Linked DNA regions of Oreochromis niloticus. The protein of the gene in region 1 purifies or fractionates together with the protein of each later gene. This does not show direct contact. Links are inferred from orthologs where the notes say so. Each region holds a gene or a part of one and is shown on either strand. Other genes may lie near its edges.

Region 1 (7,173 bases):
ATGAGAGCTGAGCCTCTGATCTTCTCTGGAATCCCTTCATAGAGCAGTTCAATATACTCATCCACTCTAGTTATACTGGCCTCCTCATTTAACTACAAACACAAACAGACACACAAAGTTATTGACTGATAACAAATGCATTCTTTCACCAGCCAAACTATTTAAACAACACATTTGAGCAACTTCGAGTTGTTGCTATAATGAAGACAGAACACGTGCTTACTGCTGTGTGAGATCAAACTACAGTGGAACAAATGGTTACCTCTATGCCTTCAAATGGTGTCAATTCTTTGGGCTTAACTGTTCTTTTTTCTTTTTTTTCCACTGGTGACAAAACACACACACACACACACACAAACAAACAGCCAAGATAAAGCACATCAGCATTAATTCCAAACTTGAAAACTTGAAACTTAACTTGCATTAGTTTACATTTTCTTTTATTAGCATCACAGTGCATACTTTAGGTCTGCCATTACACTACAACCTCCTTACATGTCTTAATATTTCTAGAATGTTTACAGTACATGCTGGACTAACAAGCTGCCAATCTACATGTGGGACTGAAGTTAGCCAAAGTCGGAATTGGACAGTAAAGATTTTGGGCTCCAGAGCACAGGTGCAATGAAGGTGGTATGACTAACCCTTGCTCTCCACTGGGGATGATTTCCTGTTCTGCAAGTAGTACAGGAGCTGCTCCACCTGGGGCAGACGGGAAGCAGGGATCATCTTACACTCCTCCAGCACTTTCTTTGCCAAAGCTCCCACATCTGTACTAGGAGAAAGACTTTTCATGCGGATACTGGAGCATGAAAAAAAGAGCAGAAGAGAAAGCAGAAGCTAGCAGGTTTCATTAAATTCAAAACAAATATACTGATTGTAAAACTGTGGCCCAACACCCTTTTTTCCTAGCATAAATAATACATATCTTTTTAATCCTTTCCTCAGGCAGAATAGTCCTCTTTTCACAAACCTAATGTAAAAGACACTGTCATGATGTCACCCACTAGTTTGTTTGTGAGGTCCTGTTGTGATGTAAAACCTAAAGACAGACACGCTCAAATGGTAGTAGAATATCTAGTTAGGCCTGCCTTGCAACAAAACCTTATTTATTAGCGTTTATTAGCAGCAGTTAAGACCATAAAGTCATTTTCCAATCAGATAAATCCTTTGCTGCTGATTATTGGGACTTACTTTTCCAACCTAGAAGCTACATTCGTCTTTTATATACAGTATATGCTGCCCAATTATGCTAACGTCACTTGCTGGCAGAATGAAATTAATGTGACAAAACAGATAAATATGAGCCACTGACACATGTAAATGTTACCTTATTTACAAATAGGTATATATTAGTAAATGGGGCAATATTAACTGATAGAAATATGTCAGCACATGACCAAAACATTGTTTTGTAACATGGCTTTGTTACCATCCACCAACGGAATAAAAGTTCATTGCAAAATGTATGGAATTTGTTACATTTTATTTTTAGTTGTCCTCACTATTAAAATATACGAAGAAATGATTACGAATTATCTGTCCAGTTTAGATGGATTAGACTGACAAAGGTTAATTTGACATAAAAATCTAATCCAATCAACTTAAAAGCTCTCCTTTTTAAGGAAAAAAAAGATTTCGAGTTCAAAAGGAAACTGAAATGAAGTGTTTAGGAGCTGTGAGTCAAGAGGCCGCTTACATTTTTTGTCCCTCCTTGCGTTCTCCAAGCATATGTCCTCCACTCTCTCCAAGGATAGATGCCTCCACCTCATAGTGGACTACAAGGGCCTTCTCTGTGGGATGGACGTCCAAACCGCCCACAGTCACTTTGCTTTGAGTGATCAAGAACAGGCAGTACAAAATACGGTAAACACATTCCAGTTATTTAATTTACATCATACCATATAATAACTGCATCGGACGCAAAGCAGCTAGCAAGTTCATTTCACAACAAAATGACTTTACATGTTGCTACAGAAAATAGGTCGTTAATTGCCAAGCCAGTAACAAATCACCAGCACTAACAATAACGCATAGGAAGACACGCCCAGACAGTAGCATAATATTACTATACTGGCTAGCCGGCTAACAATAAAACACGATTTCACAGAGTTGAAGCATGACAAACATGAGCTCAACTCGGTGCAAACCCCTGATTGCAAATAAATTCAACACTACATGCAATTAGCTAGCGATTATCCACCACAGTTTAGCACGGAAGCTTGCTAGCTATTTTAGCTGAAATTCAGAGTTCCAATCCCCCTTCACGTAGGGAAGCTAATAATAAACCCAGTTCAAGAATGAAACATTCTTGAACTGGGTTTATTATTTTACTGGCGGATTTATAAGTCAGTGGAAAACGTGAAATCAGTCGTTATTTGTTTATAAGTTGTCATGCACTGTAGGCTCCTTTTAGAAATAATTGGGTAACTGTGCTAACGAACGGGATGTGAATAGAAGCATGAAGGCTGATTTAAATTGTGAGATATTTTAAGTGACCTTTCTGTCAACTGCATGTACGCCAAACGGACCAGCACGTTGTCGTTATTCATTTAAAACAAAAACAATTATATGCTCGCATTCTGCACCGAGCAAGAAAACAGGAAATTTCCCAGATTGGAAAGGTAATTAAACATCGCGCTATATAGAGAAATGCCATGGATCAGGGCAAGCTAATTAGCAAGAATTTCAATTTAAAAAACGCTTCCTCTTATCTTCCAAGTGTTTGTTAAACGTTCACAGTAAAGCTGACGTGATAGTATGGACACCATATATTACTTAAATTGGCGTACAAGAGACCGTAGCTAGCAAACGATAACATTACTCTTAGAATAATAAACTCACGTTATGACTGACCGTTTGAGATAACGTGCATCATCCTGCATCTTCCTCAGATTTAAACTTCAATATTTTTTAATGAACGTAACAGTACTGATGTGTCGAAGCTCGGGGGAGTTTTTGTGAAGCGCGTATCGAGGCTCGCTTTGATTACGTATGCAGTAGCGTTCGTACCACGTGACTGATTCAGTAACTGGCCCGCCGGTTCGCGACAGATTCGAAATAAAATGGGCAGCAAAACACGCTTTTTTTTGGAATACGCTTTATTGACAAAGCACACAATACAGTAGTGATGGCCAAATGAAGCTTTCTGAAGCACTGAAGCTTGTATTGAAAAACGGTTCATTACTGGAAGCTTTTCAACACAGTCCTCTCTGGTGACATCTGGTGGCCAAAAATATGAAGAGCAGCTTGAATCCACAAAATAAAACCAACTGCTTCATAATGATAGCTCACTCTACAGAGTGGAACTCTGTCTCATATTGGGCTGCTGTTGTGTTGCTTTGAACGTGTATTTTTTGGTGTTAAAAAATGTAGTTTATTTGTTTAATAAATAATTTTGACCAGTAAACTTTCCTTGTGTGAACATGCACCATGGTTTGGTCTTTCTTTGCTTGTGACTTCTTGATGTTGGTAAATACAATAATTGAAAAATACCACGTTACATATAACATACATATAATAATGCACATTATGCAGTATGCTTCTGCTGTGAGGTCCTGCCTCCATGTACTTATGCATTTAATCTCTAGACGGGTATATTTATAAATAATATTATATTAGGGAAATTTGTCTATACATATTTTTGACCTGGGGGTAGAATTGATTGTGAAATGGAAAGGGAAATGCTCATGAACTTGCAAATTAAAAACATGATGCATTTAAGGAAACCCTTTTTCATTTTTATTTAAGAAGAAAATTAGTTCCACTGTGCGATGGCCGAATCTGTTCCTTTTCGTTCAGATAATTTCTCCTGCCTTAAGGAAAATCCCTTCACATGGCACAGAAGAGGCTGGAGTGCAGAAAAACTGGTAGAGATGCAGTTATGGCTCCACAAACTATCAGCTAAAGAGAATAAATAAATTAAATTGCTGCACATTTTGTAGACTAACATTTTAAGGTTATTTTTTTAAATAAAATATATCTTTTTATAACATTAAATGTTACGAGTCAAATGGAAGTTATTTAATGATATTTATATTATGAAAAGCAGATTTTTTACATTTTAAGTTTTTCCCGTTTTCAGATAAAATAAAGACGCACAAAACAAAAGCAAACAGCCAGAACACAAAGCTGGAAAACCCACCCGATTGACCAGAATCAACTCAAAATACTCCCACACAACAGAACCAAATCTCTCAGTAGAATGATCAGTGGTTCGCTATCTGTCACCATCAAGACACTCCACAAATCCCGCAAATGAGAGTTACGTGCGTAATGAAGCTTCGGACGTCTCTGGTCACGTGACTTTTGCCAAACGAAGCAAGCCTCGACCATTGACTGTAGAAAACATGGACGACGCCACAGCTCCCCAAAAATGAAGCCAAAACGTCTCTATCGCCCCCTGGTGTCTGGCTGCAGTATAGGTCATAAACCCCGCCTCCTCCATGTTAGCGGATGGGACTGGGGTCAGAATAAAATAAATTTATTCTCCTTAGATAATTTTTTTCCAAAGATTCTTTCTTTTGTTATCAATAGTTCTCATCATGCTGATTGATGTCCAAGGGGTCTCCTTTCCCATAAGTTTGATTCTAATTCCTACAGCGGCGATGTTAAATTGGGGTGAAACGTCATCATAGCAGCTTTGACTGGCAGCTGCAGTCACGGAGAAACTTGCGTATCTGTGTTCGGGAATAGCAGATAGAGCGTAGGCTCTGAGAGGAGGGCCAGCGTTTACGCTACGAAAACACGACCGAGTGTTTTAACCTGACAGCCCGAGGTGTTCTTCAGTAAACTGGACTACCCGACAGAAGGACCCGAGGCCCCGCTGCATTTTTCGGTAAGTTAATCGTGTTTGTAAGCTAATCCGTAACTACTGTCCTTAGCTATGTCCTGAGACCTAGCTAGCTAAAATGAGCACTCGGCTGTCAGGGTTCGTTTAGCTAATCTGTGCAGGTGAATGAACTTACTAAAGAAATTAAGAGAAACGTTCCGGGCTAATCAGTCACTAATTACTGTTACTGTACTTTTATTACAAGTATTATACTGTAAAAGCAACAGGCTGCACCCTGCTTCAGCTCCTGTGCAGAACTGAATATCAAATATATGCAAACAGCAGCATGTTTTCAGTCTCTTGCCACATCTGTAAAGACAGTAACATTTTTTTAAAAGCTTGTACTTCAGTAACTCCTCATTAATCAGGAACTATGGATTAAAGTACTGTAGTGTATTGTAATACTGAAAAAAATGTAAGAGAAGAACTTCAGATCCTGAGTGTGTGAGGACAGAAGAATCAGCTTTATTTCAATTTTGAGGGATAAAATTTATATCTGAGTTTGATGGTTCTGTTCTCTTTGTGATTACAGGAGCTGCCCTCAGATTCAGACCTCAGCACCACCCAGTGACAGCAGACAGATCATCCAACATGTTAACTGCAAAATGAACTGATGAAAACAGTACAAAGGTTAAAGTACCACATGTCCTGTAGTGAAAGCTGCAGCTTTATTGATAAAGTTAAAGACAAAAAAACAAAAGGATTAATCACTCATGTAACTGTGTCACTATATATCAGCATTAACAGGACCTCAGTTTGGTGTTTCACAAAGCTGCTGATCTCAGACCTGCACAGCTTCCGTTTTAAACACTTGATGTACTCAGCTGCATGAAGAGCATATGAGATTTTCTCTGGCACAATTAAATAAAACCTGATGAAGGTCAAAGGTCGTCACTTGTATGTTGAACTACAAACTTGTCATCTGGAATTCTTTCACAGTTTTCTGCAGATAGTGTGTTATTTACCATAAAGTGATTCAGAGTTATTCATACCAGAGTAACCAGAGAGGATCATATATTTTTTTTAAATATATAACTTTCTACAGGACTGAATATAATATCTTTATGTAAAAGTCTGGAGCCTCTGGGGAGTATCCGAGTATTTATAACATTACACAAACCAAAGGTCTCCATCACAGTATTCATGAAATGCTGGGTTTATCCATCTCCTGGATCGGGCCTACGGAGGAGTGCTGAAGATTTCCCTGTGAGGGAGCTGCTGGTGAAGATCATGAGTCCTGCTTGATCTATGCATGAGCTTCAGTCTTCTTGGTGTTTCTTAAATGAAGCCTCTCTCAGTGGGTCAACAGAACTTCTGGCACAGGACAGCTGTGATGAAAGAAAAGGAAGAAGTTTCTCTAAACCTCTGGACCCAGGAAACCCAGCTTGGTCCTGATGGTCTCCCTCACTAGTTTCTCTCCAGGGTGAATGTAGCTGTTGATAAAATATGGACTCTATTATTAAATGAAAAGAACAAATTAGACTACACTACTGAAACGTTCTGCTGTTTTTTTTAAAGTCTCCATGTTACCAGGCTGTAGAGTACGGTAGAGGGCTCTGAAGATTTAAACAGTTTTAGATCCATTACACTCACAGTCTTATGTTAAAATCTCAAAGGACAGCATTATATTTTTGATATTAACAGTAACTCTGGGCCTCTGTAGAGTGTGCAGATGATCTCATCGCTGTCTAAAAATGGATAAAAACAAACATAAGAAGTGATGAATCCTTCAATAACACAGACTATTAGAGTAGCAGGTGTGTAGCATCGCTAACTAGCTAGCAACAAGCCTCCAACACAGTGCGTATGCTAGCGGCTAATCTAACTAACGAATTAACAACAGAGTGATTTTAGAACTATAAGATGATAAGCTGTGTGTCTTCTTTTATAACAGTGACATGGTTGTATTTACCTTAATTAAACGAGTCGTCAGTCGCGGTAAACCAGCAAAAAAACTCGAGCAGCCGGGCTACGTAAAAAGTGTAGGGGGGCGTGTTTGCGGTCATGTCCAGCGGGTGTGTGGGCGGGAACGTTACACAGTCGCTCCACCTCAAGTCACTACTGCGCAGACTCTGGCTCCAAATTTGCAAGATGGCAGCCTCCACAAGCGGGATATTTTGGCTTCATTTTTGCACAATGGTAGGAGGCGGAGTCGCGTCGTCCATGTTTTCTACAGTCAATGGCCTCGACACAGTGGCCGTTTATCAATGCTCAAGTACGCGAGTACGTACTCGCCGAGAACGCGAGCACGGACTCGTGGGATGTTTCTCAATTCTCAAGTACGCGAGCACGGACCTGTGATTTGTACAGTCGGAACACCTGCGTACGTGATGATGTCACAG
Region 2 (7,465 bases), on another chromosome or scaffold:
CCCTGCAAACCCTGTGGATGGAGGATGCAGTGGACAGTGGGAGGAAGCATCCTGAAGCTCTCTTTGCAGACCACCCTGTGTGATTCTCCACTCACAGACCAGAAAAGACAAACCGCAGGTCTCAGTTGCAGCAGCTCATCCACGTCTGATCTTGCTCGGGCAGATTCAGCAACACTGCCAGAGACTTCCTGTAATCTATTACAGTTGTTCAAAAAACGGTCCAGGAACAGGTTACTCAGGTTAATCCTGTGTGAACAACTGAAAATATTGTTGTTTCATCTTTACATACTGTGTATTTGAAATATTCTTGTTTAATTGTTATTGTTATTTACTTTATTGCTATCAAATAAATATCCAAGTAATATTGTTCAAAGTTAGCGTTATGTTCATACGTGTTACAAATGCCTGTAAATCACATTGAGTTCAGTGACAGTTACTGTTTGTTTGAATCAATTTATTAATAACATAAAACCTTTAAACTAATGCAACACATATAACAATGTAACAAATATATTCAAATAAATAAATTTCTCAATACATAACTCATTTGGGAAGTAATCTTTCTAGAAGTGAAAACAGTCTGTCCGTCCTCTCCCTGCTCTCCTCTCCTCAGCCTCTCTTTGCTGCCTCATGTCCGCTCTGATGAGGTCTAGCAGCTCATCATCCCTGTCTCTTTTCCTCTTTCTCCCTGTCGTAGGTGGCTGAGCCGCCTCGTCATTGCTGTCGTTTTGGTCACCCACTGCTGTGCTTGGCCCTGGACTGTCCTCAGGGAGAGAGGAAATTAGGACAGGAGGCTTAATGGAAGGCATCTGTCCTATCACCTCATCCATGAGGGCAAACCAGGGCCAAGTAGCAGCAGTGGGCTTCCCACTGACCCCCTCTCCTGAGCCTGGATACTTGCAATCCTAAAGGCAGAGGAAATCAAACACAGCAGGCAAATAAAAACACCACAACAACTCTTAGTAACTCTTGCACATTTATTAACTTGTGTTCTTAAGAATTATCTTCTTGATAACACACATACGTACTTTGTATTCTTTAAAGTTATCTCATGTCTTCTGGCCTGCAAGGGGGTGACTTTCCCCTGCAGGCCCATCTTCTCCAGAGTTGTCCTGATCACACACAACAAATAAGAGAAGAAAGGACACCATGGCAACTATGTTAATCCCTAAATCCAAAAGTTTCACAGCAGAACACCAGAGGAATGCCGTCTGGACATCACAGGTTCTGTACAGCAGCGGTCCGTGAGTCGTTTGGTACCGGGCCACAGAGTTAAGGCTCTGGTGTGAAATTTATGGTTTTCAGGGGTTTTGTCGTTGACTCGGTTTCCCTGGGTCTTTTCCCGTGTTGTAGTAAATATTTACACGTTACCATAGCGACCAGAGAGCATTAAGCGGCAGAGAGGAGGATGTTACTGTCAATATTGGCGCATTTTCAGGAGGACGCTGCTAATGAAGTTACACAATTACACAGTACATTCACGTTTATTATTATATTTACATAATACCACAGTTTTTGTCTTGGTCGGATCATTTTATGTGGTTGTATTTATCCGCGATACCTTAAAGGCTCCGTGTCTGACATAAACCGGTCTGTGGCGCAAAAAAGGTTGGGGACCGCTGCTGTACAGCACGAGGGTTAATAGGACCGAACTCATATGAATATGATGCGTAAATTGATTTATTCATGTACATCCACGCGGTAACGGCCCAATTCTTCACCCCAGTGAAGAGGTGATCGTTTTCTCCTCGTTTCAATAGATTAAGCCGTTTGGTCTTTGTTCCCCACAACATATCACCAATTTGGAAAACTCAAAATTAGCTGTATGTAAGCGGCAATACAATCGCGGGACCCCCGATACAAGCTGGTTTACGGTTATTTTAAAGAAAAGAAACATGTCTATGCAGATGCCCAAAGCTTAACAAAACGACCGCCATAACAATTTAACTTTTGTACAACCAGATTTTCATATACTTACATTTGAAAGTGTTTTCCTCTCCTGCTTCGACCACCATCGTTATCAGAAACAAATCTCCTCTATGACCCGCAATGAATCCTGGGATACAGTAGGACATGAAGGATACATCGGACCATCCTTAGAATTCAGGGCAAAGTAGGACGCATTTGTCGCCACATTTTGAGCACTCTTTGAATTCGGACAGCCTTCGTCGCGTCACCGTGACATCATTGACTCCAAAAATGGCATTTTAAGCATCCTTCCCCTGAATTCGGACACGACTAACCCTCAAATTCGCGGAAAAGTAGGACACATTTGTCGCCACATTTTGAGTGCTCTTTGAATTCGGACAGCCCTCGTCGCGTCTCTGTGATGTCATTGCCTCCAAATATGGCATTTTAAGCATCCTTCCCCTGAATTCGGACACAGCCTAGGTTTTAGTCTTGATTGTCACACTCTAATTTCTATGTGCATTTTATTTGAGAAATGAGTGCTGAGCTTGAGGCCTAAAGAATAAATGTATTATGCTTCTGTAATAAAACACCAATTTCAAACATTAGCTGTCTGACTGTAGTTCAGTCATTTGGATGTAACTGCATTAATGCAAATGTCTAAAAGTAGTTTCTATCCAGGTTTTTAGACTGTGGAAGTGATATTTTTTTTTTTTATTTTTTTTTTTTTGTGTATACAAATGCAATCAATCTTGAACTCAGCTTTTAGAATGTTATGTCATTCATGGACCTGACCAGTGCAAGTTAGGTTAAGAAAAGTGCATGCAGCTTAAGACGGGGAATTTCAACACTGTATTTTTCCACATTCATTTAAATTTACAGCTAAGAGTGGAACTATGAAATGTACATGCATATGTACTCACGCAGTTTTTTCCAGAAGCTCAGAGCAGATATTACAATATATTTCAATATTCACCGTTCACTCCTCTCCCCTCTGTCAGAGCTTCTGTTCGTCAACTAGTAGTGGGTTGGAAGCAGGGAGTTTCTGGAGCACTATTAGAAAACCAGTCTGTCAATAAACACTTTGAACCTGCCAAGTGGTGTTTTTTTTTTTTGTTGTTTTTTTTTATTTTTATTTTGCTCTTTAAGTCCTTTTTTGCCAAAATATGACACCAGGTCATATTCTTGAACAGTAATATATGACGAGAGGGCAAGATGCAGGGTTGACATCCAAAGTCTCATGCAGTCATGTGGACTAAGAAACTATATACAGTAGATGAACATGATGTAAAAGTTATGCGATTAAGAAAAAGAAAAAAATCTAGCGAAGATGGGACCTGAGAGATGCATCTGGCCGTTCATTTGATCCGTTGACTGTTTGCTGAAGCGTCATCAGAAATGAAATCAATGGAATAATTTTGTATAAGAAGCAAAGGATTCAAAACTGACTCTATTTGAAGATTGAAAAAAACAAACAAACAAAACAAAACAAAAATGGAGCTCTGTGGATAAAAACACCCACTTTTCAACAGTTGTAAAAGATGCATTCAGTTCATAGTGCTATCTCATGAGACGAGCAGAGAAGGATGGATCTTAGTTTCGAGCCTAGGCTTTGGAAGGCACCCTAGTACAAAAAGATGCTTATTTAGTACAACTTTCAAAACATTTTGGCAAGTTGTAGAAATATTTTGGTTTTCAATTCTGATAATATTTGTATTCATTTAGGCCAACTGGGGTTTGTATCTCATTCAAAAGTGAAGCTTAGTTCAGCTTTAGTAGCACAGATTCACTGGAGTGTATGTGCGATGGCCCAGTGGCTGTTTTGATCATAAAAATTGTGAAATTAATAAAAAAAAATACTTTTTTATTATCATTATTGATCCTTTCTGCCCAGTCAACTAAATTGTCTCTGCTTTGCTCTGATCCAACCTAGAATCTCACTATGGCGAACTTTAACACACACACACACACACACACACTAAAACACACACATTCACGAAGAAGGCGGAGAGTTTACGGCTAGGAAGGAGGTCAATTTTAAAAATGTGCTCATGTGTGGGCACCCAGTAGAGGGAAGGACGTCTTTGAAAGTTGCTGAACTTTGCTGGACAAGTGCAAAGAATGAAATGACAATTCCTGCCTAAGGAATTAGAAATAGGCGGTAATGTACCATACAGGATACAAGCTGTTGTTAAACCTATAAGGCCCTTTGTATCATATTTGATACATGAGTTTCTGAGACCTGAGAGCTCATCAACATGATCAAAACTTGCCATAATTTCAAAATGTTATGGACAAAACTCTATTTTGTCTAAAAATAACATCGTTGAAATAGTTGCCAAAAACGCCCAATGTATCAAATGCGATATAAAAAATATATCATCAGTATATAATAAAAATATGTCATACACAACATGATATAGCAAAAAAAAAAAAAAAAATGTGGATTTTGTTATAAGGGTTAATAAATATCTCAGTTCCAAAAAATCTAAATTTTCTGGTTACTTTTTGATGGGTTAGGTCTTACAGGGTTAAACGCCAGAATTCACGTGATCATTTTTGGCCACTTCCAGCACCCGTTCCGTAAATTCTCGAGGAGACGCGCAACAAAATCGGTCCGCTGCTGGTTCGGCAGGAATTTTGCCATCGACGATTCACTTCATCGCAGTGGGAGTTTTGCGTAACCTAACGTTTGTCACTGGTAAGTGTTAAATTACGTTTCTGTGTGGCTGGTGTAAAGTTGTGTTTGTAGGTTTCACGAAATTTCGCGTAGCGATATACTGAATTAATCTTTACATTTGCTAAGAGTGTTAGCCGGGCAGTGCTACCAGATTTGTAGCTTAGGTTACCAGTTTGTTTGCAGTTGCTAGCCTAGTGTTTTGGTCTCGTTATGGGACGTGTTTAACATGAGCTAACGCTAGAAAGCTGATCCGTTAGTTTGACAAATCACGTTTACTAACGTTTACTAAGCTGCTACCGTAAAATGGACCATTTATCAAATTTCTTTCTAACGGCTGTCATTTAATAATCTGATATTCCAACTTTAAACCAGGGTGAGGTTTCTTCACCTAATTAGCTAAATTCCAGTTAGCCAATTTAAAGTAGTGTCATTGCTATATGCTCTGACAGAACAGTGTATCGGTGGTATTGTTTTTTTCAGTTTGTATGTGAATAGAAAAAACGGTTATTTATTTAAACAACTGTAATGTGTGCTTATGCCTGTTGCTGTGGTATTTTACGGTGATAGCTGGAAAAGTCTTAGGAAGCTTAGTTTTATTATGTGCAAGGGAACGGCTGCTCAGATGTAAGTGCCAGGTAAGCAGTGTCGCTGCCTATCGGTTACCTTAACCAAGTGGGTGTCCCTTTTTGTCCTTAAGTAGTTAAAAATACTTTTGACCTTTCCCGAATCAACTAGAGTCTGAAGAAACAACAGTCATTACCATATGTCCAAAACATCTATATGTTGTCTTAAAGAGACACAAGCTGTTTGAATTAGGACTGGGGTTTAGTTCTTTGTAATACCCCTTTCTAGCACAAGGTAGTGCAGTGAGCCAGTGGAACCATCATCTTCCACAAAGTCGTGCAGAAGTGAGGATATCTAAAAACACATGAAATTTACAGAAGTTAAGCACTAGTACTTATCCTAAATCAAAACACCCGCTTGTAAGCAGTGCCATCTGGTGGCAGAATTTCACTGTAAGAACTTTTAACCTGTGTGATGCTTTAACCATCAGCTGAGATGTAATTCACTGATTGTTTTCACCCCAGCAGTGTCAGATTTGGGCAATCTATTGCTGAAGTGTTACTAAAGCTGCTCTTTAGGAAGACAAGGTGCCAAACAGCAAGGATTGGCAGGTGCTCCTCACCATGTCCAAGAGCAAGAGCTCAGAGTCAGTCAAGGTGGTGGTCCGTTGCCGTCCTATGAACGAGAAAGAGCGGGCCGCCAAGTATGAGAGCGTGGTGTCTGTTGATGTCAAACTGGGCCAAATTATTGTGAGAAACCCAAGGGAGTCCTCGGGCAACGAACTGCCCAAAATCTTTACATTTGATGCTGTTTATGGTTGGAACTCCAAACAGCTGGAAATGTATGATGAAACCTTCAGGCCCCTGGTTGAGTCTGTTCTTCTGGGATTTAATGGGACCATCTTTGCTTATGGCCAGACAGGTACAGGGAAGACTTACACTATGGAAGGGGTGAGAAATGATCCAGAGAAGAGAGGGGTGATCCCAAACTCCTTTGAGCACATCTTCACACACATTTCACGTTCACAGAACCAACAGTACCTTGTCAGAGCGTCATACTTAGAAATCTACCAGGAGGAGATCAGAGACTTGCTCTCAAAAGATCAGTCACGTCGTCTCGAGCTCAGGGAGAGGCCCGACACAGGTGTGTATGTTAAAGATCTTTCATCATTTGTTACCAAGAGTGTGCGAGAGATTGAGCATGTCATGAATGTGGGCAACCAGAATCGATCAGTTGGAGCCACTAATATGAATGAGCACAGCTCACGCTCTCACGCCATTTTTGTCATCACGGTGGAGTGCAGTGAGTTGGGTGTGGATGGAGAGAACCACATAAGAGTTGGCAAACTCAACCTGGTGGATTTAGCTGGCAGTGAAAGGCAAACCAAGACTGGAGCTCAGGGGGAGAGGCTTAAAGAAGCCACAAAGATAAATCTGTCACTTTCTGCTCTCGGTAATGTCATATCAGCTCTGGTGGATGGCAGGAGCAGCCACATCCCTTACCGAGACTCGAAGTTGACACGTCTGCTACAGGACTCCCTTGGGGGCAATGCCCGCACTGTCATGGTTGCCAACATTGGCCCAGCATCCTATAACGTGGAGGAGACCTTAACAACTCTGCGCTATTCAAACAGGGCAAAAAACATCAAGAACAAACCACGTATCAATGAAGATCCCAAAGATGCCCTGCTCAGGGAGTTTCAGGAGGAGATTGCCAGGCTGAAGGCACAGCTGCAGAAGCGTTCAGGAAAGAAAAAGAGAAGGCGGCTGAGGAGGAGAGCAGGGGAAGGGAGCGATGATGAGGGTCTGGAAAGTGGCGAGACAGAGGACGATGAGGAAGATGGAGACGACAAGGGGGACTACTGGAGGGAACAGCAGGAGAAGTTGGAAAAGGAGAGAAAAGCAATCCTGGACGATCACAGCCTGGTAGCTGAGGAGAAAGCGCGGCTTCTTAAAGAGAAGGAGAAGAAAATGGAAGACTTGCGGAAGGAGAGGGAGGCCGGAGAGAAGCTTGCAGCCAAAGTTAAGGTAAGCAAATATTTAAGTTCCAAGAGTTTCAAGAAGTTTGTCATTTCGTTTGGTGTTACCCAGGCTGAAGCAAATACTGTTTCTCACCAGCCTCTACAGTGCAATAGTCAATACAAATTTTAAAGAGCAGTAAAAAGGCAGTAATAAATCATAGCAATAAATTGGGATAAATAACACAAAATCTAAATACTAAAACAAACTCAAGTCTAAATAGTCATACTCATTCAGGTAGCAGCAGTCCTTTTACAGAAGGGGGTAATTAAATTAAGTAGTGTGCGTATCTGAG

What was found. Proteins that work in one complex are often made in the same cells at the same time.
Region 2: the proteins of kinesin-associated protein 3 (region 1) and kif3b purify together in Homo sapiens (co-immunoprecipitation; 7 studies listed by BioGRID and IntAct, counting the BioPlex papers as one, with this or other methods). This does not show direct contact. The link is inferred for Oreochromis niloticus from reciprocal best matches to the Homo sapiens genes KIFAP3 and KIF3B.

What each region holds. Positions count from the first base shown.
Region 1 is NC_031982.2:1,955,678-1,962,850, reverse strand, and holds the start of kinesin-associated protein 3, read right to left. Parts: upstream 3,005-7,173; 5' UTR 2,886-3,004; coding exon 2,845-2,885; intron 1,832-2,844; coding exon 1,700-1,831; intron 803-1,699; coding exon 645-802; intron 325-644; coding exon 263-324; intron 93-262; coding exon 1-92. UniProt on the Homo sapiens protein: Involved in tethering the chromosomes to the spindle pole and in chromosome movement. Binds to the tail domain of the KIF3A/KIF3B heterodimer to form a heterotrimeric KIF3 complex and may regulate the membrane binding of this complex.
Region 2 is NC_031984.2:32,957,628-32,965,092, forward strand, and holds the start of kif3b (kinesin-like protein KIF3B), read left to right. Parts: upstream 1-4,456; 5' UTR 4,457-4,609; intron 4,610-4,658; exon of another isoform or gene 4,659-5,223; intron 5,224-5,676; 5' UTR 5,677-5,775; coding exon 5,776-7,179; intron 7,180-7,465. UniProt on the Homo sapiens protein: Microtubule-based molecular motor that transport intracellular cargos, such as vesicles, organelles and protein complexes. Uses ATP hydrolysis to generate force to bind and move along the microtubule. Plays a role in cilia formation.